Anolis sagrei: one gene and its partner. The protein of the gene in region 2 purifies or fractionates together with the protein of the main gene of each other region. This does not show direct contact. Links are inferred from orthologs where the notes say so. Each region holds a gene or a part of one and is shown on either strand. Other genes may lie near its edges. The genes, in order: PARVA and RSU1.

Region 1 (10,951 bases), on a different chromosome or scaffold from region 2:
TGTACTGCTCGATGTGTCCCCTAACTTCTCAAATTCAAGGTAGACTCATAGATGGAGAAACAGTCCTTCTGATATCATGGGCTGGAGCTTTATATTACTTTATATTGAAAAAAAGTCTCAAAAATTCATGGAGACTTGTTAAATTGACAGGTGATTTGAAGGCATGTGCACACACTAGCCATTTTTCCCACAAGAAGTTCAAGCAAAGGTAGAATATGTGACCCTCTAAATATTATTAAACTGCAGCTTCCAGCATCTCTTGCTTTAGGCCAGGGGTCCTCAAACTAAGGCCCGGGGGCCAGATACGTCATTTACCCGGCCCTCGCTCAGGGTCAACCTAAGTCTGAAATGACTTGAAAGCACACAACAACAACAACAACAACAACAACAACAATCCAAAATCATCATCCAAAAGCAGGCCCACACTTCCCATTGAAATGCTAATAAGTTAATATTTGTTAAAATTGTTCAATTTAATTATTGTATTGTTTTAAAGTGTTTTTTGCACTACAAATAAGATATGTGCAGTGTGCATAGGAATTCATTCATGCTTTTTTCAAATTATAATCCGGCTTCCAACAGTTTGAGGACTGTGACCTGGCCCTCTGTTTAAAAAGTTTGTGGACCCCTGCTTTAGGCCCTGGTGGCTGGAGGTAATGGGAATTCCAGTCAAATAACATTTGGAAGCCTGTATTTTTCCCACCCCAAATTTGCTATAATTAAAAATTATTTTAACCATTTTGCCTTTAGATTTATGAAAAGAAGCTACCAATGAATATGCAGTGTTGGCTGGGATTATAAATGGAGCAGAAGAAAGTCAAATTTGCACCTACTTTGGAGGAACACAAGCAGCAAAAGAGATAAAGAACAGCATTTTGAAAAATGTCAGAAATCATCTTCTGAAGGTTCTACTCTATCTGCCAGGCGACTTTTTGTCCTTTCAGAATGATATACATTATAAATGCAAGATATTAATTAAAGTTGTAGATGAAATAACTTGGTACTGAAACTGCAAAGGGGCAGAAGGATGTTCCTATTAAGGTAAATAAAAATAGCTCCTAATATTGATGTATATAAAGAAACAGTGGATAGATTCTATGTGTTGCCTTATCCAGTATGCTTTCACTGTGGAAATGCGAGTGGGATATTCATCATTTTCCATTTCCTAGATTTTTAATTCTGCATATATTTGAAAGTCAGAGAACTAGGGGATTTCTTTGGATCTCTCCTTCCTTGAGATTATAACCTTTCAGAATGGGACTTGCATATGTTAATTTCATATATGGGGATTTTTTTTTTTAAAAAGGAGCATTGCCAGTATATCAATGCATCCACATTCAGTATTAATTGTTGTAGTGACAGAACATACAACAATTAATATATGCATTTTATAAATGCATAACTGTAAACATGTCAGTTCAGTGTTTAACAGATGTAATTTACAAGCTAGAAAGCACTGTGATGTTAGTGAAGCTTTAATGCAGTGGTAAAGATTTGCAATTTGTACCACTGTATTAATATCAAAGGGATTATTCTTTGCAAAATGTAGAAAGATCACATGATCCTTGTGCTGCTGTAACCAAAGACGACAGCATAATATGCTGACAGAAATATATATGATAATTATAGTTTTTACAATATGTTTTTGCTTCATAAATAGTACCAGTATATGATCCTTATGTGTATATAAAATTCTGAATTGTGATATTTGGTGTTAATGGGAAAAATCCTGACCACATTGCTTTGTATGATACCAACAGTATTCATTAGAAGGGCTGTGCAAACATATATGCCATATTTACACTGCAGCTGAAGATAAAAGGCCAGATAATAAAATTAAGAGCAAGAAGTTGGCACTGGGCTCGTACCTTGACTACAATTCACAGGCACTGATATACTGTTGCCATCACTCAATGTTCTGTAGGTTAAACTGTTTGCAGGATTTCAACCCAATGGGGAAAGGTCGATCCTTCAATTTTGGTTCATCACCTTGTGTTCAAGAAACTGAAATCATCTGGTAATGTCTTTACTTAATTTATAAAATATTTTTTGAGGGACCTGTTTTGATTTCACACTCTAACTAGTAAGATTAACTATTACATAACTATATCTAAGCTGCTTAAAATGTCCTGTCTCTGGTTAAGCAAAAGCAAAATAAATAAACATCTTGAGCCAAATTACAAGTCCTAGTTGAAGCATGAAGAATAAACTAGAAGCTTGTACAACTAATGAACAATCTAATTCTGTAAAATGCGGAGTTTGGGAATTTTCTTTCTGAATTATGACTCCAGGAATTGCAACAAGTATGGCCGCTGAGCATACCGACTGGAGATTTGGGGAGCTGACACACAAAAAGAAGAACTAAATTCCAAAAAGGCCCAGTTCAGTTCATTAGTTTAGTTGAAATGTGTATGAGTTGCAAGATATCTGGTCTTTTTTTAACCTTCAGACATTAGATGAGAACAAAAGCTTGTTTCTATGGGTGAAAAGCTTAATGTTTCCCTTTAAGGGTGGATTTGGAGAACTGTGGTTTGTTATAACCAACTTTTGTCACAACAACTGCTGTTTCTTGAGTTCTTAAGCAGAGCTGAATTGTTCTTCATGTGAAAGCAGTAGTTTTTAATCTCCTTTTGTAAAATGGAAGACAAAGAAGAGAGGAATCTACATGACACTGTGTCTCATTTCCTAAAACAAACTGAAAATCCAATTGGGAAAATATATAAATGTTCCTGCAAACAACACTGGGGGGAAGGTTCTCTTTGCTGTTTATGTATTTATTTTGTGTGGTGTTTACATACAGTGGTAATTTATTAGCATATTTATTCTTGGGGTTCACTTTTCTATTTTGGTCAGTAAGTGGAATACCTACAGTAACCAAAGTTTAGGCGAAGTTGCACCACTGGGTAATTATAGTGTAATAATTCAAGCCAAACTTTACAATATCTGTGTTTTCCATTTGTACTGAACAGATGCACTTTCGTCATAATGTATGTGTATTGTGAGTCACTACATCATTGCAATGTAAGCTATCTCTTTGGTAATATTAAAAATGTATTAAAATTGAACAAAATGTTGATAATATCTTGCTGAAAACACTGTGGCCATACTGAATTTTTAGTTACTTGACCAAGAATTCTGGAATGTTTAATGGAAATGCAGGTGTGTATTCATCATGATAAAACTGCAGCTAAACTGGCAGTTCATTGCTTATGTTAATGAAATGGCCTTCTTCAGTGGAAGAAAGAGGGAGGACAACTACATGAACTGCATGACAAAACAAACACCTTACCAAAACAGGATAGAGATATCAGGTCAAAACAAAAATGAGGAATACTACTTGAATAGACTACTGCAATAGACTACTGCAATGCACTCTACATGGGGCTGACTTTGAAGACTGTTTGGAAGCTCCAGGTGATCTAACAAGTGACAGCCAAGCTGCTCACTGGAGCGATGTACAGAGAGCATACAACCCTCCTGTTACATCAACTCCACTGGCTGCGGGTCTGCTGCCAAGCCCAATTCAAAGGGCTGGCTTTAGCCTATAAAACTCTAAACAGCTCTTGTCCAACTTACCTGTCTGAATGTATCTTTCTCTATGAACCAGTTAGAAAGTTAAGATCTGCAGGGGAGGCCTTGCTCTCAGTCCCACCCCCATTACAAGCACAAGTGGTGGGGATGAGAGACAGGTCCTTCTCAGTGGTGGCCACTTAGCTATGGAACTCCCTACCTGGTCTATAATAATTGAAGACAGGATTATTTTCCCCTGAATTCTACAAGTGAGACAAATGAAAAACTATATATTAGGGCAATGCCTTTACCAGACCATCTCTCCCCAAAGCACAAAACAACATGCAAGTTTTTGGAATAGAGAAATCACTTCACCAAGAAAGAGATTAATTGCTAAAGGTGTGATTGGGTCAGACAGAGAAAGAGAACTAAAAAAAATGAAAACTGTCCTAAAATCTGTATGACCCTGTCCTATCTTGAATTGTGATGGGGCCATCAAACCTCTCCTCCTCACGGCCTCCCATATGCTTTTTCAGGAGGCATCTGATCTTTCATCCAAAATCAACTTCCACCATGCATTGCAGCCCTCATGCCCAACATTAAAGGCAGTGGGAATATATCCAAGGAAATACAGGTTAAGCACTCCTTACCCAGAAATACAAAATCCTCACACATGCAAAATTGTCCATATGGGTTTTTTTTTTAATTGTGTCAGAAGCAAATTGGAGTTACTTCTGGTGTGAGAGGATGAGCCATCTGCAAGGACATTGACCAGGGGATGCCAAGATGTGTCACCATCCTGTGGGAAGCTTATCTCATGGGAAGCTGGAGATGACAGATAGGAGCTCACCCTGCCTCGCAGATTCAAACCGACAACCTTCAGATCAGCAGTTTAGCCGGCACAAGGGTTTGACTCATTGCACCACTGCAGCTCCATCCATATGGGTTGCTGCAATGGCAACACTTTTGCGTTCTGGAGGTTCAAAGACAAATTTTATTTCATGCACAAAATTATTAAAATAATTGTGTATAAATGATTTTCAGACTATGCCTTTAGGGTGTATGCATGAACACTTTGGAGCACATCACCAAAAGATGTCATTATGTATAAGCAAACATTCCAAAATCTGGAAAAAAAATCTAAATTGCTTCTGGTCTTAAGCATTTCAGGTAAGGGATACTCAGTATGTGTTGTCGAAGGCTTTCATCCCAGAATCACTGGGTTGCTGTGAGTTTTCCAAGTTGTATGGCCGTGAAGCATTCTCTCCTGCCGTTTTGCCCACATCTATGGCAGGCATCTTCAGAAGTTGTGAGGTCTGGGTTGCTGTGAGTTTTCCAAGCTGTATGGCCATGTTCCAGAAGCATTATCTCCTGACGTTTTGCCCACATCTATGGTAGGCATCTTCAGAGGTTGTGAGGTCTGGGTTGCTGTGAGTTTTCTGGGCTGTATGGCCATGTTCCAGAAGCATTCTCTCCTGTTGTTTCACCTGCATCTATGACAGGCACCCTTAAGAGGAAAACTCACAACAACCCAGTGATTCTAGCCATGAGAGCCTTCAACAATATGTTGTGAGGTCTGTTTATGGCTGTAAATTGAAACCTGTGTGTGTATGTGTGTTTGTGTTTCCCCAGTAACCCCCCTCCCCAAAAAGTGCTGCGATCATTCCAGATCCCTTTGTAGTAAGATACAGACTGAACATTCCTTCCCTGGATTTCTGAAATACTCCAAAACTGTCAAAATGGGTGGCTGAGATAAGGACAATTTACTCTTCTGCTGGTTTAGTGGGCACAAAATGTGTTTCATGGGAAAATTACTAAAAATATTGCCTAAAATTCCCTTCAGACTAAGTGTTTAGATGGGGGTCCCATTTCCAAGATGTATATATATTACAAAAGAACTTCCTGACTGTGAGAGCTGTTCAGCAGTGGAACTCTCTGCCCCAGAGTGTGGTGGAGGCTCCTTCTTTGGAGGCTTTTAAGCTGAGGCTGGATGGCCGTCGGGGGTGCTTTGAATGCGATTTTCCTGCTTCTTGGCAGGGGGTTGGACTGGATGGCCCACAAGATCTCTTCCAACTCTAGGATTCTATGAAAACCTGGAAAAATCTGAAACGCCTGGCCCCAAGCACTTGGGAGAAAGGGTTTCCAACCTGTAGGGACTTGTCCTTCTGGGGCGAAAGAATGGGAGGTGATGGTTGGGAGGGGGGGGAATCAGCTGCTGGGGGGCGGGCTTTTCCAAACTCCATCGTGGCTCCTGGGAGTCCCCTCCAGGCAGCGAGGAAGGCGAGGCAGCGACTCCTTCTTTGGGTGGAGAAAGAGAGAGAGAGAGAGAGAGAGAAGGAGGGAGAGAGGAAGAAGGGAGGCGGGAGGGAGGAAGGGAGGGAAAGAGAGCAAGAGCAGCCTCAAACGTTTCGAATAATTCCGCTTCCGTCGGGAATCGGGACCGGGAGGCTGCGAGGGAGGGAAGCCCGGGTGCCTCCTCTCTTTCTCTTTCCCGCTCGGGGCGCCTCCGCCGCCGCCGCCCCCTCCCTCCCTCCCTCCCCGCCATGGCCACCTCCCCGCAGAAGTCGCCCTCGTCCCCGAAATCCCCCACCCCCAAGTCGCCCCCCTCCCGGAAGAAAGACGACTCCTTCTTGGGGAAACTCGGGGGCACGCTGGCCAGGAGGAAGAAAGCCAAGGAAGGTGAGCAAAGGGGGTGGAAAGGACGGAGGGAGGGAGGGGGAGGAGAAGCCAATCGGTCTTGCCCCGGGGTTGCCACGCAAGCTGCTGTGCCAGGGCGCCTTGAAGGGAGCAGAGGCGGGGAGGTGGAAGCAGGCAGGCAGGGAGGGAGGGAGGGAGGGAGGAAGGGCCCTGTTGCTCCGCGCTGCCCTCCAGGCTGGGGATCCGGGAAGGAGGGGGGGGGGGGCGCGCGAAGGGAGGCCGCCTGGGTGCGCCGCTTTGCCCGCGTCACTCGCGAAAAATGTAGCCTGGAGCGGGCGAGGGAGGGGCCAGGGCTGCCGCGAGGCGCGCTTCCCTCCCTCCTCTGCTGCTGCTGCTGCTGCTGCTGCTTTGGCCTGCGGAGCGCAGGAAGCGGCCGCTCCTCCCCGGCCCCAGAGGCAGCCTCCCCGCCCCTGCTCCACCCCCTCTCCTCCCCCGCCAGACTGTGAGGCTTGGGTTGGCCCATCTCCCGCCGGCGCCTTGGTCCTTCCTGCCCTGGCCTTCTTGGGGACCAGCTGGGAGGCCCACGGAGAGGGGGGCCAATAGTATGATAGCTGGGTCTGGAAACGGTGAGAGCATGATAGCTGGGTCCGGAAGCTCCAAGCATTACGCACATTCCGCAAGGGCGGTTGTGAATAAGGGCGGGAATGTACTTCAATTTGGTGGAAGGACAGAAAGGAAGGGAGGGTTAGGATAAAGTTTAGGGTAAGGTTTAGGGTTCGGGTAGGGTAAGGGTTAGGGTTAGGATTAAAATTAGGTTTAGGGGTTAGGTTTAGGGTTTGGGTTAATATTAGGATTATGGTTTGGGTTAGGAGTAGTGTTAGGTTTAGGGTTCGGGTAAGGAGTGGTTCTCAACCTGGGGTCCCCAGATGTTTTTGGCTTTCAACTCCCAGGATTTCTGGGAGTTGTAGACCCAAAACATCTGGGGACCCCAGGTTGAGAACCACTGGCTTAGGTTTTTACCGTTAAAGAATTCTTACATTCCTTCTATAATATCTGTGTTCCGTTCTGCGTTACGCAAACAGCGCTCCCATAGGAGCAAAGTGGAAAGAGCATAAGGCTCAGAGCTTCCGGACCCAGCTTTCATACTATTACCCTAGAAACTCCGGGCATTACTGAGATCCCACATTGCTTCTTTGGGAGCACTGTTTGCACAAGAGAGACTGGCACTTTAGTTGTGAAGCCAGGCCGGAGACAGATAATATAGAAGGAATGTAAGAGTTCTTTTAAGGTGAAACCCTTACCCTACCCCTAATCCTTACCCTGAACCCTGCCGTAAGCCTAAACCTAACCCCTTACCCTAACCCAAACCCTAAACCTTACCCTAACCCTTACCCTTACCTTTACGTCAACTCAAACCCAACCCTAAACCTTACCCTAACCCTAACTAACCCCTAATCCTTACCATAACCCAAACCCTAAACCAGGAGTCCACAAACTTTTTAAACAGAGAGCCAGGTTTGAGGGCCAGGTCACAGTCCCTCAAAGGGCAGGTTATATTTTTTTTTTAAAAAAAAAACAAGAATGGATTCCTATGCACACTGCACATATCTGTAGTGCAAAAAGCCACTCAAAACCAATACAATAATTAAAATGAAGAACAATTTTAGCAAAGATAAACTTATTAGTATTTCAATGGGAAGTATGGGCCTGCTTTTGGCTAATGAGATAGGGTTGTTGTTGTTGTTTTGTGCTTTCATGTTGTTTCAGACTTAGGTTGACCCTGAGCGAGGGCTGGGTAAGTCACATTGGAGTGCCATATCTGGCCCCCAGGCCTTAGTTTGAGGACCCCTGCCCTAAACCTTGCCCTAACACTTACCCAAACCCTAAACCTTACCCTAAACCTTACCCTAACCCTAAACCGCACCCTAACCGTAACCCCTAACTGTAACCCAAACCCTAAACCTTGCCCCAAACCCTACCCTAAGCGTCCCCTCCTTTCTATCCTCCCTTCGCTCTTCCTGCTCTCACTCCGCCCCCTCTCTACCCTTATTCACAGCCTCCTTTGCGGCATCTCTGTACCGCTCAGAGCTTCCAGACTCAGCTATCATACTATCACCCCCCTCCCTCAATGTTGGAGGGCAATCCTGGTTGAATCCTGGGTCACCACCAAGAAGGCCCTCTCCCTTGTTCCCACCAACCGTGCTTGAGAAAAGGTCTTCATTTGGGGTCAGTGGTGTCACTAAAGCTGGTGCATATCTCTTCTGCTCCTGGCCCAGATTCTTCATCCTCTGCCACACCACTGATATCCTGTTAATTTTATCATAGCTGGAATACTATGCAGCTCATTGCCCTCTGAGCCTCGGGTGGGACAGTGAGTTAAGTCACTAAGCTGCTGAACTTGATGACCGAAAGGTCGCTGTTCGAATTCGGGGAGCGGGGTGAGCTCCTGCTGTTAGTACCAGCTTCTGTCAACCTAGTAGTTCGAAAACATGCAAATATGTAGATCAAGTATGTCAATGGGTACTGCTCTGGCGGGAAGGTAACTGTTCTCCATGCAATCATGCCAGCCACATAACCTTGGAGGTGTCTATGGACAACGCAGACACTTTGGCTTAGAAATGGAGATGAGCACCACCCCCAAGAATCGGACAGGATTGGAGGGGCTCATTTAATTCTTGCTTCTTATAGACTTAGCATGGGGATTTGGTTAACCAGTTAAAATTCATGAGTAAACTAGTGTTTATTAACCTGAAAAAATTCAGGAGGGAGGTGTTAAATCCCCTCCCCCCTTGGCTACAACCCTGCTTGTAGCCAATCATCATCATCATCTTTATTTATATCCTACCACCATCTCCCAAAAGGGACTCGAGGTGGCCTACAAGGGACTCCAAGTGCAATATAACATAAATGGTACATAAGTATAAAACAATATAAAGTTACGAAACAACTGCTATCAACATATAAAATAAAATAACACAATTTAAAAATGCAGACCATCTAGTTAAAACTAGCTGCCATCAATTCACAACTAAAGTGCCAGTGTATCAACCTCATATGGGTCCATTTCAGTCTACTCTAGGCCAAAAGCCTGTTTAAAAATCCATGCTTTTTGGTTGGATTGGAAGGAGTCAAGGGTGGGGGCTAATCTAATCTCTTTTGAGAGGGTATTCCAGAGCTGGGGAGCCACTACAGAGAAGGCCATCTCTTTCATCCCCACCAACCACGCTTGAGAAGGTGGTGGGACCGAGAGTTGGGTTCATGGCATCTCTATGAACATCTTCCTGTACCAGACTGTATCACATATCTATTCAGCAACAGCCCCCAGGTTCTCATCCCATCCCATTCCAGTTATATCCCCGCAGAGACACAGGAATTTTAGCATAGCTGGGATAGTGTGGGATTGGTTTCCCCCTGACATTAAGTCCAGTCATGTCTGATTCTGGGGGATGGTGTTGTCTGCAGACACCTTCAAGGTTATGTGGCTGGCATGACTGCATGGAGTGCCTTACCTTCCTGCCAGATAGGTACCTATTGATCTACTCACCCTGCATATTAGTGATACCCCTATGGTTGGGTTCACCTAGTGAGGTAATCATGATGTTACTTCCTCCCCTACCAGACCATGCTGCCTACCTGTTCTTCTCTCTCATCCCACTGCTATATCTGCAGAAACCCGCTGATTTTAGCCTAGCTGAAATAGTATTAAACCAATCTGTACATTGTATTTCATGCTAGCATCCTTAGGATTGGTTTCACCTAATGCAATAACTCATGGTATCATCTCCATGGACTTGCTCCCATAGCATACTATGTTGTGCTCCTGTCCCCAATTTCCCATCCCACTGATATCCCTGCAGAAACTGACACATTTTAGCATAGCTGGAATATTGTGCAAGTCATCTGTACATCACATTGCATGCTAGTGACATCAATTGATTTTACCCAGTGCTGTATCTCATGGTGTCATCTCCATGGGCCTCCTCCCCTATAAGGCCTTGTTGCGTATGTGTTCTCCTATCCTTGATTTTCCATCCCATCCCATCCCATCCCACTGATATAACTGCAGAGATTCACAGATTTTAGCATAGCTGGAATAGTATGCAACTCATCTGAATATCACCTTGCATGCTAGTGGCATCCCTAGGGTTGATTTCACCCACTGTGGCAAGTCATAGTGTCATCTCCATGCACATCCTTCCATACCATACCTTGCTGCATATCTATTCTGCTCCTGTGCCTGATTTCCCATCCCATTCCACTGATATCCCTGCAGAGAATCATGAATCATAACATAGCTGGAATAGTCTGTAAATCATCTGCACTATGCCTTGCATGCCAGTGGCATCCCGAGGATTAGTATCACCTACATCAACCTTCTGCCATACCAGACTATAACACAATATTGAAACTAATTTTTTAAAATCAGCAACTATGAAAAACAAGCGGCAACAAAAACAATGGTGCCTACCTGTTGAGTGTGTGTGTGTGAAACAACATAGTTCAAAGTGCCACTGTCATTGAGTAGCAGTGATGAAAGCTCTGGTTAGATTGCATGTATATTAGAAGGTTTAAGAAGTAAATTAGTATAGAGTTTTGTTGTTGTGTGTGCGTGTGTGTGCGCGTGTGTGTGTACACACACACACACACACATACATATATATATATATATATATATATATATATATATATGCACAGACAGTATATGTAAGCTGGCCTAAGAAAAATGTTTTTTGTGGTTATTTTTAACTGTGGGGATGTTTTTTTAAAATAAAATCTGAAAGGCTGCATCAAAATGTTTTGGTGT
Region 2 (11,336 bases):
CATGGGGTGGAAAAAGGCATTTCATTCCAGGACATTCCAGCTCATACGCTTGGCCATTAGGAACCCACCTGTCACCTGTGTGTCCAAGAAAAAAAGTAAACAAAACAAAACAATATTCTTCCAAAATTCTTCTCAATCTCTTATACTCAAACTATTGTATCTGGAGAATGATTTGAAATTTTAATTAGAAGTTTTAACTGCTAGGTTCCTATAGGAACTACCAATTCCTTTTGATTAGCCAAAATAGTATAGTGGTTTGAGTGTTTGACCACAGTTTTAGAGACTGGGGTGTTATTATTATTGTTAGTGTTATTGTTATGATTATTATTAGGGCCCCTGTTGGCGCAGGGATTAAACCGCTGAGCTGCTAAACTTGCTGACTGAAAGGGTGGTGGTTCAAATCCAGAGAGCGGGGTGAGCTCCTGCTGTTAGCCCCAGCTTCTGTCAACCTAGCAGTTTGAAAACATGCAAATGTGAGTAGATCAATAGGTACTGCTTCTGCAGGAAGGTAACGGCACTTCATGTAGTCATGCCGGCCATGTGACTAGGAGGCGTCTTTGGACAATGCCAGCTCTTTGGCTTAGAAATGGAGATGAGCACCAACCCCCACAGAGTCAGACACGACTAGACTTAATGCCAAGGGGAAACTTTTACTTTTATTCTTCTTCTTAATAATAATAATAATAATCATCATCATCATCATCATCATCATCTATATTCTGCTTCTTCTCTCCCAAAGGAGATTCAAAGCAGCTCTTGGTGACTCACACACTCTCATCCTCAGAAAGTCCCATGATAAGGTCACCTTATGGTCACCATAAGTCAGAAATGACTTGAAGTCACACATAACAACAAGTTCCTTTTAATAACCAGTTGTCTACAGAAGCAAGGTTGCTGTTGCAGAAATGCAAAAGCATTAAAGCAGAGCCGAGAAATACTTACACAAACCAGGTATGTCTAGCATGTTAGAGATTCCCCGGTCGCACATGTCGACTTCCAAGATGTTCTTCTCCCGACTCTCCTCCACAATTTTTTTCAAGGATTTGGACATGATGGAAGCTGCAAAAAGAACAGAGGTATATTGCAGCAGGTCAAGAAAAGATACATAAAGCTGAAAGGACATTTCTTTTACTGTATCAGATAAGCCAATCTCAAATGAAATCAATTGGAGGGGGAGAACTTGCTCACTCCAGTGATCTCAATGTGACAGAAAAGGCATAAAGGTCATGAAAAAACACAATGCCTGCATGTTGTGATTCTTCATTTTATGGTAGAAGATAGGCCATCTTGATGTGAAATTGTGTCTCCCAATTAGGAGCTTGTTCAAAATATTTTGCAGTGAGCTATCTTCTAAAATGATGCTGTTAGCTGGTCCTCTTCTACCAAGAAGATGGGTTTTGGGAAACATGAAGGCTGAGAATAGAACAGGGACGTGGATTTTCCTCTGTTGCTAATCTGATGACATCTATATTGAAGAATGAATGCATTGGCACCACTTTAATTGCCATAGTTCAGTGCTATGCAATCCTGGAAGTTATAGTTTTACAAGGTCTTTAACCTTCTTTACCAAAGAGTGTTGGTGCCTCATCAAACTGCAACTCCCATTATTCCACAGCATTGATCTGTGACAGATAAAGTGACATCAGATTGTATTAATTCTACAGTGTAGATCAGGCATGGGCAAACCTGGACCCTCCGGCTGTTAGGAATTATGGGAGTTGAGGTCCAAAACACCTGGAGGGCTGAAGTTTACCCATGCCTGATGTAGATGCACCCATAGTTCTGGAGGTAGGTCTTGCTCATGCATTTTGATTGCTTTTGTTTGTTTGTGCATTATATAACCTTTGGAAATCCATTTTCCAAATGCTTTGGAATGGCACCTGGATCCTGGAACCCATCAAATCTGGATGAAGATTGTTCTCCGGAGAAAGAAGATATTACAACAATTTGCCCCTCAGCTCTGGATGGAAAGTGTCAATACTTTAGAAGTGATTCCTTGCTCTTCATGCAGGGACTATCAGGTCCTGTTGAACTACTATGATACAACATATGGACAGAGAGATGTATATACATTAATTTATGTCTAGGAGTATACTTAAGACTAATTTACGACAATTATTCAGTTTATCTTTTTATCCTTTGTCACCAAGCACAAAGCAGCTGCACACAATAACATCCTGCAGAAACTTACTGGCAGCGCATGGGGAGCAGACCCACAATTAATAAGTACATCAGCTCTGGCAAGCGAGGTTTATATATCTGAGGAATGTCCAGGGTGCCTGACAAGTGTTTTAATGTGTTATATTTTAACTATGTTGCTCAGGCTTGTCCCCATGTAAGCCGCTCCAAGTCCTTTCGGGGAGATGGAGGTGGGATACAAAAATAAAGTTGTTGTTGTTGTTGTTGTTGTGAATGTTGCAACTGGCCACTTTGATTAGCACTGAATGGCCATGCCTGGCTGGTTGCTGCCTGGAGGGATCCTTTTGCTTTGGCTTTGAAGCTGCAAGGCCATTAAATGCTAATCAAGGCGACCAATTGCAACATTCACACTTGCCTCAAACAGACAAGAGTTCTTTCTCCCACCCTGGACATTCCACAGATATATAAACTCCCCTTGCCTTGTTTCCAACAGATCTCACAACCTCGGAGGATTTTTTTTTGTCGTGTCAGGAGCGACTTGAGAAACTGCAAGTCGCTTCTGGTGTGAGAGAATTGGCCGTCTGCAAGGACATTGCCCAGGGGACGCCCAGATGATTTGATGTTTTTATCATCCTTTTGGGAGGCTTCTCTCATGTCCTCGCATGAGGAGCTGGAGCTGATAGAGGGAGCTCATCTGCCTCTCCCCAGATTCGAACCTGCGACCTGTCGGTCTTCAGTCCTGCCAGCACAGGGGTTTAACCCACAGCGCCACCGGGGGCTCCATACCTCTGAGGATGCCTGCTATAGATGGGGGTGAAACGTCAGGAGAGAATGCTTCTGGAACATGGCCATACAGCCTGGAGAAACTCACAGCAACCCAGTGATTTTGGCCACGAAAGCCTTTGGTAACAGATTATTTGGATACACATAGAGAGAGATCTTGGAGAAAGGTCCCCAGTCTTAACAGGAAATTAATTGATGCTTATTTATTTATTTATTTATTATAGTGTTTATATTCTGCCCTTCTCACCGTGCAGGGGACTCAGGGCAGATTACAATGTACATATACATGGCAAACATTCAATGCCATAGACTCACAACATATATACACAGACACATTGAGGCTATTTAACATTCCAGCTTTTTGATGAGGATATTCTGGCCACCAGGGGAGCTGTCGCTTCACCGTCCATTTGTGACATTGATGAAGTACTTCCTCATTCTTTGCATGCTCGCTGGAGATTTTTAAGGCATCGTATATTTTATTTATTTATTTATTCATTTATTTCTAAATCAAACTTATATGCCGCCACTCCCCTGGGGCTCAGAGCGGCTTACAAGAACAGGCTAAAATCTAACACAATTTAAAAACAATTTAAAACAATTTAAAAACAATTTAAAACAACAATATCAGAGATCAAAGGCCTGTCGAAACAGATATGTCTTACACGCCCTGTGGAAAGCTGATAGGTCCTGGCAGAGTATTCCAGAGTGAAGCCTCCCCGTATAAGCGGTACCTAAATTTCCTACTTGACAGATGCAACTGTCTTTCGGGCTGCAAAGGTCGACATCAAGCTACACAAACTGGTTGGAAGCTTACTCTGACCTGGGTTGGCTTAAAACTCAAGACCTTTAGGTCAGTGGTGATCTTAATGCAGCTGACTCCCAGCCAGCTGCGCCACAGTCCTGGTGCTTGCCATGCATCCTTCATCCAGGTAACTTTACACACAGTGCTTTTAATAATTTTGAGCATGAAACAAAGTTTGTGTCCACTGAACCATCAGAATGCAGAGGTGTCACTCTCTCTGCTACCAGGGATGTAGATAATTTTGGATTTGGGCGAGTTTTGGAATTCTGGATAAGGGATGCTAAATCAGTTGTCACATTGCTCTCAATGGGCCACTATTTTTTTTCAGGGCTAGGGGTGTATCTACAGTCATAGAGTCATAGAGTCGGAAGAGACCTCATGGGCCATCCAGTCCAACCCCCTGCCAAGGAGCAGGAATATTGCATTCAAAGCACCCCTGACAGTTGGCCATCCTATCATGACCCTAGGCTAAGTTCCAAAGAAGGAGCCTCCACCACACTCTGGGGCAGAGAATTCCATTGCTGAATGGCTCTCACAGTCAGGAAGTTCTTCCTCATGTTTAGATGGAATCTCCTTTCTTGTAGTTTGAAGCCATTGTTCCGCATCCTAGTCTCCAAGCTTGCTCTCTCCTCCCTGTGACTTCTTCTCACATATTTATACATGGCTATCATGTCTCCTCTCAGCCTTCTCTTCTTTGGGCTAAACATGCCCAGCTCTTTAAGCCGCTCCTCATAGGGCTTGTTCTCCAGACCCTTGATCAGACCCTTGTAGAACTAATGCAGCTTGACACCACTTTTAAGTGCCATGGGCTCAACGCTATGCAATCCTGGGAGTTGGGGGCGCATCAGGGCATTTGGTAGAGAAGGCTAAAGCCCTTCTAAAACTACATCTCCCGAGATTCCATAACAGTGAACGTTTGAGGTTAAAACGGTGTCAATCTGCATTAATTCTCCAGTACAGATACAGGTCACACTGTCTCAGCCTCAGAGGAAGCTAGAATTGCAGGGAAGGAAGAGAGGATGACCCTCTGCCCCCTCCCCGGCCAGATCGAGGAAGGCGAGCCATCTGCTCTGAAGCATCTCCAAGGAACTCACCCTCTGTAGGAAGGGAAGGGACCGGGGCGCTGGATCTCGGTCGAGGCGGTCAGGTCCACTCCAGGCTCTTTTCCGAAGCCCCCGCCCTGTTACGCTGCTGCCTCCTCCCAGTGCGCAGGCGCAGTCCCAACCCCAGACACCCGACCCTCTCCTTCGCTCCAAGTAAGGAGAAGCAGCGCTCGGGGCAGCCCCGGCCCCGCCCACAGTTTGGAATGTGCAGCCCGCGGCCAACCAATCCGAGAGGAATCTCCACCTTTGCCCGGCGGCTATTGGTCGAGACGCCTCAAGAGCTAGCCAATGGGATTCGGGAAAGTCGAGGATACAATTCAGCAGCTCAAGGGAAGGAAGTGAAGGCAAAGTTGTGCCGGGGAGTGCAACAACATTGTGGAATGGCTACACTTTGACACCGCTTTAATTGCCATGGCTCAGGACTAAGGAATCGCGAGAGTTACAGTTTGATGAAATGGTTGCAGCAAAGTTGAGGCCAGTAATGAAATAAAAGGGCACACGCTTCTCATTTCTATCAGCCCATTATAACATAAAGAGGAAGTTAGCCCAGGGTCATGATTCTGCAATGATGCCACTGTCATAAGGTATTAGATAAGGGCATGGTAGGCGTAAGGCAAGGCTGCATCCTCTCACCCAACCTTTTTAACTTGTATGCAGAACACATCATGTGATGTGCGGGGCTTGATGAATGCAAGGCTGGGGTGAAAATTGCTGGAAGAAACATTAACAACCTCAGATATGCAGATGACACCACTCTGATGGCCGAAAGCGAGGAGGAGCTGAGGAGCCTTCTAATCAAGGTGAAAGAAGAAAGCGCAAAAGCTGGGTTGCAGCTAAACATAAAAAAACCAAGATTATAGCAACAAGAATGATTGACAACTGGAAAATAGAGGGAGAAAATGTGGAGGCCGTGACAGACTTTGTATTTCTAGGTGCAAAGATTACTGCAGATGCAGACTGTGGCCAGGAAATCAGAAGACGCTTACGTCTTGGGAGGAGAGCAATGTCCAGTCTCGATAAAATAGTAAAGAGTAGAGACATCAGACTGGCAACAAAGATCCGCCTAGTCAAAGCCATGGTATTCCCTGTAGTCACCTACGGATGTGAGAGCTGGACCTTAGGGAAGGCTGAGCGAAGGAAGATCGATGCTTTTGAGCTGTGGTGTTGGAGGAAAGTTCTGAGAGTGCCTTGGACAGCGAGAAGATCCAACCAGTCCATCCTCCAGGAAATAAAGCCCAACTGCTCATTGGAGGGAAGGATACTAGAGACAAAGTTGAAGTACTTTGGCCACATCATGAGGAGACATGAAAGCCTAAAGAAGACAATTATGCTGGGGAAAGTGGAAGGTAAAAGGAAGAGGGGCCGACCAAGGCCAAGATGGATGGATGGCATCCTTGAAGTGACTGGACTGACCTTGAAGGAGCTGGGGGTGGTGACGGCTGACAGGGAGCTCTGGCGTGGGCTGGTCCATGAGGTCACGAAGAGTCGGAGACAACTGAACGAATGAACAACAACAAGGAGGGTAATGGAAACCAGTTTATTGCCTTCGTTCATTCTTCTGCCTCCTCCTCCTCCTGCATCCTTCGTTCATCCTCCAGAATACTGAAATGTTCGGATAGAGTGATGCCAGGACAATGGGAGGTAATATTATTTAAAGCAGGGATCCTCAAACTAAGGCCTGGGGGCCAGATCTGGCCCTCCAAGGTAATTTATTTATTATTATTATTTATTTATTTCGGGCACTTCTACCCCGCCCTTCTCAACCCCTGGGGGGACTCAGGGTGGCTTACAACCGGCACAATTCGATGCCAACAATTCAACAGATAAAATACATAACAGCAATAGCCACAATAGTTAAAAACAATCAATTAATACAATAACAACTAAAAAGACAATCTAGTGGTCAACGTTCACCGAGTTCTAAAATCCGTAAGTCCATTCAGCATTACCATAGCCCTTTCCAAATTCTGGTTGTCATTACCTTATCAGTCTGTCAGATTACCCAAAGGCCTGGTCCCATATCCATGTTTTCAGCCTCCTTCTGAAGGAGAGGAGGGATGTTGATGACCTAATTTCCCCAGGGAGTGAATTCCACAAGCGAGGGGCCACCACTGAGAAGGCCCTGTCCCTCGTCCCCACCAGTCTCACTTGTGATAGAGGCGGGGCCGAGAGCAGGGCCTCCCCAGAAGATCTTAAACTCCGAGGTGGGACATAAAAGGAGATACGTTCGGACAGGTACTCTGGGCCGGAGCCGTATAGGGTTTTATAGGTCAAAACCAGCACTTTGAATTGTGCTCGGAACTGGATCGGCAGCCAGTGGAGCTGACATAACAGAGGGGTGGTATGTTCCCTGTATGACGCTCTGTTGATTAATCTAGCTGCCGCCCATTGGACTAGCTGAAGTTTCCGAACAGCTTTCAAAGGCAACCCCACATAGAGCACGTTGCAGTAATCTGTTCGGGATGTAACAATTTACCCGGCCCTCGCTCAGGGTCAACCTAAGTCTGAAACTACTTGAAAGCACACAACAACAACAATCTTATCTCATCAGCCAAAAGCAGGCCCACACTTCCCGTTAAAATATTAATACGTTTATATTTGTTAAAATTGTTATTCATTTCAATTATTGTATTGTTTTTAAGTGTTTTTACACTACAAATAAGATATGTGCAGTGTGCATAGGAATTCATTCATTTTTTTCCCAAATTTTAATCCGGCCCTCCAACAGTTTGAGTGACTTTGACCTGGCCCTCTGTTTAAAAAGTATGATGACCCCTGATTTAAAGCATATTGTTGACTACTGAAAGTAAACTGGTGGAATATGAACCTTTTCTTCTGGCAGGCCTACCCAATCATTTTTAAACTATGATTTTTACATTTATCCTATATTACTATGGCATTTTAAACTTTGTACCATGTATTTTAATGTATGTGTTTTATAGAATGTAATATATATAGTAAGGTAAAGGTTTTCCCCTGACATGAAAGAATTCATGAAGAAGAAGAAGAAGAAGAATTCAAACAAATAGCCAACAGCTGTAGGGAAAAGGTCCGCAAGGCTAAAGCAAAAAACGAGCTCAGACTTGCCAGGGACATTAAAAACAATAAAAAGGCCTTCTATTCTTATGTCAGTAGAAAAAGGAAAAACAAGGAGGCGATAGGACCTCTTTGAGGAGAAGATGGGGCAATGCTGACAGGGGATAGGGAAAAGGCAGAACTACTTAATGCCTTCTTTGCCTCGGTCTTCTCACAAAAAGAGAGTCTTCAACCTCAGCAAGATGGAGTGGATGAGGGATTGGAGGACATCCAACCCCAAATTGGGAAAGAATTCGTCCAGGAATACCTGGCCGCTCTTAATGAGTTCAAGTCCCCAGGGCCAGATCAACTACACCCAAGAGTACTGAAGGAACTAGCGGAAGTCATTTCGGAACCATTGGCAACCATCTTTGAGAGTTCTTGGAGAACGGGAGAAGTTCCAGCAGATTGGAGGAGGGCCAATGTGGTCCCAATCTTCAAGAAGGGAAAAAAGGACGACCCAAACAACTACCGTCCGGTCAGCCTCACGTCGATACCGGGCAAGATTCTGGAAAAGATTGTTAAGGAAGCGGTCTGCAAACACTTAGAAACAAATGCAGTCATCGCTAATAGTCAACATGGATTTATCAAAAACAAGTCATGCCAGACTAATCTGATCTCTTTCTTCGATAGAGCTACAAGCTGGGTAGATGCGGGGAATGCCGTGGATGTAGCGTACCTGGATTTCAGTAAGGCCTTCGACAAGGTCCCCCATGACCTTCTGGCAAGGAAACTAGTCCAATGTGGGCTAGGCAAAACTACGGTGAGGTGGATCTGTAATTGGTTAAGTGGACGAACACAGAGAGTGCTCACTAATGCTTCCTCTTCATCTTGGAAAGAAGTGACAAGTGGAGTGCCGCAGGGTTCCGTCCTGGGCCCGGTCCTGTTCAACATCTTTATTAATGACTTAGATGAAGGGCTAGAAGGCATGATCATCAAGTTTGCAGACGACACCAAATTGGGAGGGATAGCCAATAGTCCAGAGGACAGGAGCAGGATTCAAAACGATCTTGACAGATTAGAGAGATGGGCCAAAACTAACAAAATGAAGTTCAACAGTGACAAATGCAAGATACTCCACTTTGGCAGAAAAAATGAAATGCAAAGATACAGAATGGGTGACGCCTGGCTCGAGAGCAGTACGTGTGAAAAAGATATTGGAGTCCTCGTGGACAACAAGTTAAACATGAGCCAACAATGTGATGTGGCGGCAAAAAAAGCCAATGGGATTTTGGCCTGCATCAATAGGAGCATAGTGTCTAGATCGAAGGAAGTAATGCTACCCCTCTATTCTGCTTTGGTTAGACCACATCTGGAATATTGTGTCCAATTCTAGGCACCACAATTCAAGAGAGATATTGACAAGCTGGAATGTGTCCAGAGGAGGGCGACTAAAATGATCAAGGGTCTGGAGAACAAGCCCTATGAGGAGCGGCTTGGGGAGCTGGGCATGTTTAGCCTGAAGAAGAGAAGGCTGAGAGGAGATATGATAGCCATGTATAAATATGTGAGAGGAAGCCACAGGGAGGAGGGAGCAAGCTTGTTTTCTGCTTCCTTGGAGACTAGGACGCGGAACAATGGCTTCAAACTACAAGAGAGGAGATTCCATCTGAACATTAGGAAGAACTTCCTGACTGTGAGAGCCGTTCAGCAGTGGAACTCTCTGCCCCGGAGTGTGGTGGAGGCTCCTTCTTTGGAAGCTTTTAAGCAGAGGCTGGATGGCCATTTGTCAGGGGTGATTTGAATGCAATATTCCTGCTTCTTGGAAGGGGGTTGGACTGGATGGCCCATGAGGTCTCTTCCAACTCTTTGATTCTATTCTATGAAGTCCAGTCGTGTCTGACTCATAGAATCATAGAATCATAGAATCATAGAATCATAGAATCATAGAATCAAAGAGTTGGAAGAGACCTCGTGGGTCATCCAGTCCAACCCCCTGCCAAGAAGCAGTAATATTGCATTCAAATCACCCCTGACAGATGGCCATCCAGCCTCTGTTTAAAAGACTCTGGGGTGTGGTGCTCATCTCCATTTTTAAGCCAAAGAGCCGGCATTGCCCATAGACACCTCCAAGGTCATGTGGCCAGCATGACTGCATGGAGCGCCGTTACCTTCCCGCCGGAGCGGTACCTGTTGATCTACTCACATTTGCATGTTTTGGAACTGCTAGGTTGGCAGAAGCTATGGCTAACAGCGGAAGTTCATGCCGCTCCCCGGATTTGAACCTGTGACCTTTAGGTCAACAAGCTCAGCGCTTTAACCCACTGCACCCCCAGGGGCTCTGTAATATATATACACACATACATAGATCTGAATAGTTTAAGCAGTGGTATTCCCTGTAGTAATCAATGGATGTGAGAGCTGGACCATAAGGAAGACTGAGTGAAAGAAGATAGACGCTTTTGAACTGTGCTGGAGGAAAATTCTGAGAGTGCCTTGGACCGCAATAAGATCAATCCAGTCCATACTCCAGGAAATAAAGCCCAGCTGCTCAATGGAAGGAAAAGTATTAGAGGCAAAGATGAAGTACTTTGCCACATAATAGGATGACAAGAAAGCTTGGAAAAGATAATTATGCTGGGGAAAATGGAAAGAAAAAGGAAGTGGGCCCAACCCAGTGCAAGATGGATGGATGGTATTCTTAAAGTGACTGGCTCAACCTTGAAGGAAGCTTTAGTATGGGCTGGTCCATGGGGTCACAAAGAGTTGGAAGCAACTGAACGAATAAACAACAAAATATACATACATACACATACACACAAAACGGTGGTATGTTTTAACTGCAAGCTGTGAGGAGAGGCAGGTAGCAGATGATGATGATGATGATGATGATGATGATGATGACGACAATGATGATGATGATAGAGCAGAAGAGAAAATTGGCAAAAGAAACATTTCAGTGGACAGTTCCTGGGGAAAACTGAGAGTAAAATTGACAAGGAAAAAACATGGATGTCGCTCACAAAAGGAACTTTGAAAAAGGAGATGGAGGGCCTAATTGTTGCACACCAAGCCATTAGAACCAATGCCATCAAAGCCAGAATTGAAAAGTTGACCCTACAGATTCCAAGTGTAGACTCTGCAAAGAAGCAGGTGAAATGATGGATCACATACTCAGCTTCTGCAAGAAAATTGCGCAGAGGGACTACAAACAGAGGCATAATACCTTTGCTCAGATGATTCATTGGAACTTGTGCCACAAATACCATCTGCCTGCGACAAAAAAACTGGTGGGATCACAAGCCAGAAAAGATTACAGATAATGAACACGTCAAACTACTCTGGGACGTCTGAATTCAGACTGACAGAGTTTTGGAGCACAATACTCCTGACCTCATGATTGTGGGGAAAAAAAACAAAGTATAGAGATAATCAATGTTGCAATCCCAGGCGACAGCAGAATTGATGAGAAGCCATGGAAAAGCTTACAC

What was found.
Region 1: the proteins of RSU1 (region 2) and PARVA purify together in Homo sapiens (affinity purification with mass spectrometry; 3 studies listed by BioGRID and IntAct, counting the BioPlex papers as one, with this or other methods). This does not show direct contact. The link is inferred for Anolis sagrei from reciprocal best matches to the Homo sapiens genes RSU1 and PARVA.

Annotation. Positions count from the first base shown.
Region 1 is NC_090021.1:254,326,891-254,337,841, forward strand, and holds the start of PARVA (alpha-parvin), read left to right. Parts: upstream 1-5,868; 5' UTR 5,869-6,053; coding exon 6,054-6,189; intron 6,190-10,951. UniProt on the Homo sapiens protein: Plays a role in sarcomere organization and in smooth muscle cell contraction. Required for normal development of the embryonic cardiovascular system, and for normal septation of the heart outflow tract.
Region 2 is NC_090026.1:105,610,190-105,621,525, forward strand, and holds the start of RSU1 (ras suppressor protein 1), read right to left. Parts: upstream 4,974-11,336; 5' UTR 4,822-4,973; intron 1,060-4,821; 5' UTR 1,052-1,059; coding exon 943-1,051; intron 1-942. UniProt on the Homo sapiens protein: Potentially plays a role in the Ras signal transduction pathway. Capable of suppressing v-Ras transformation in vitro.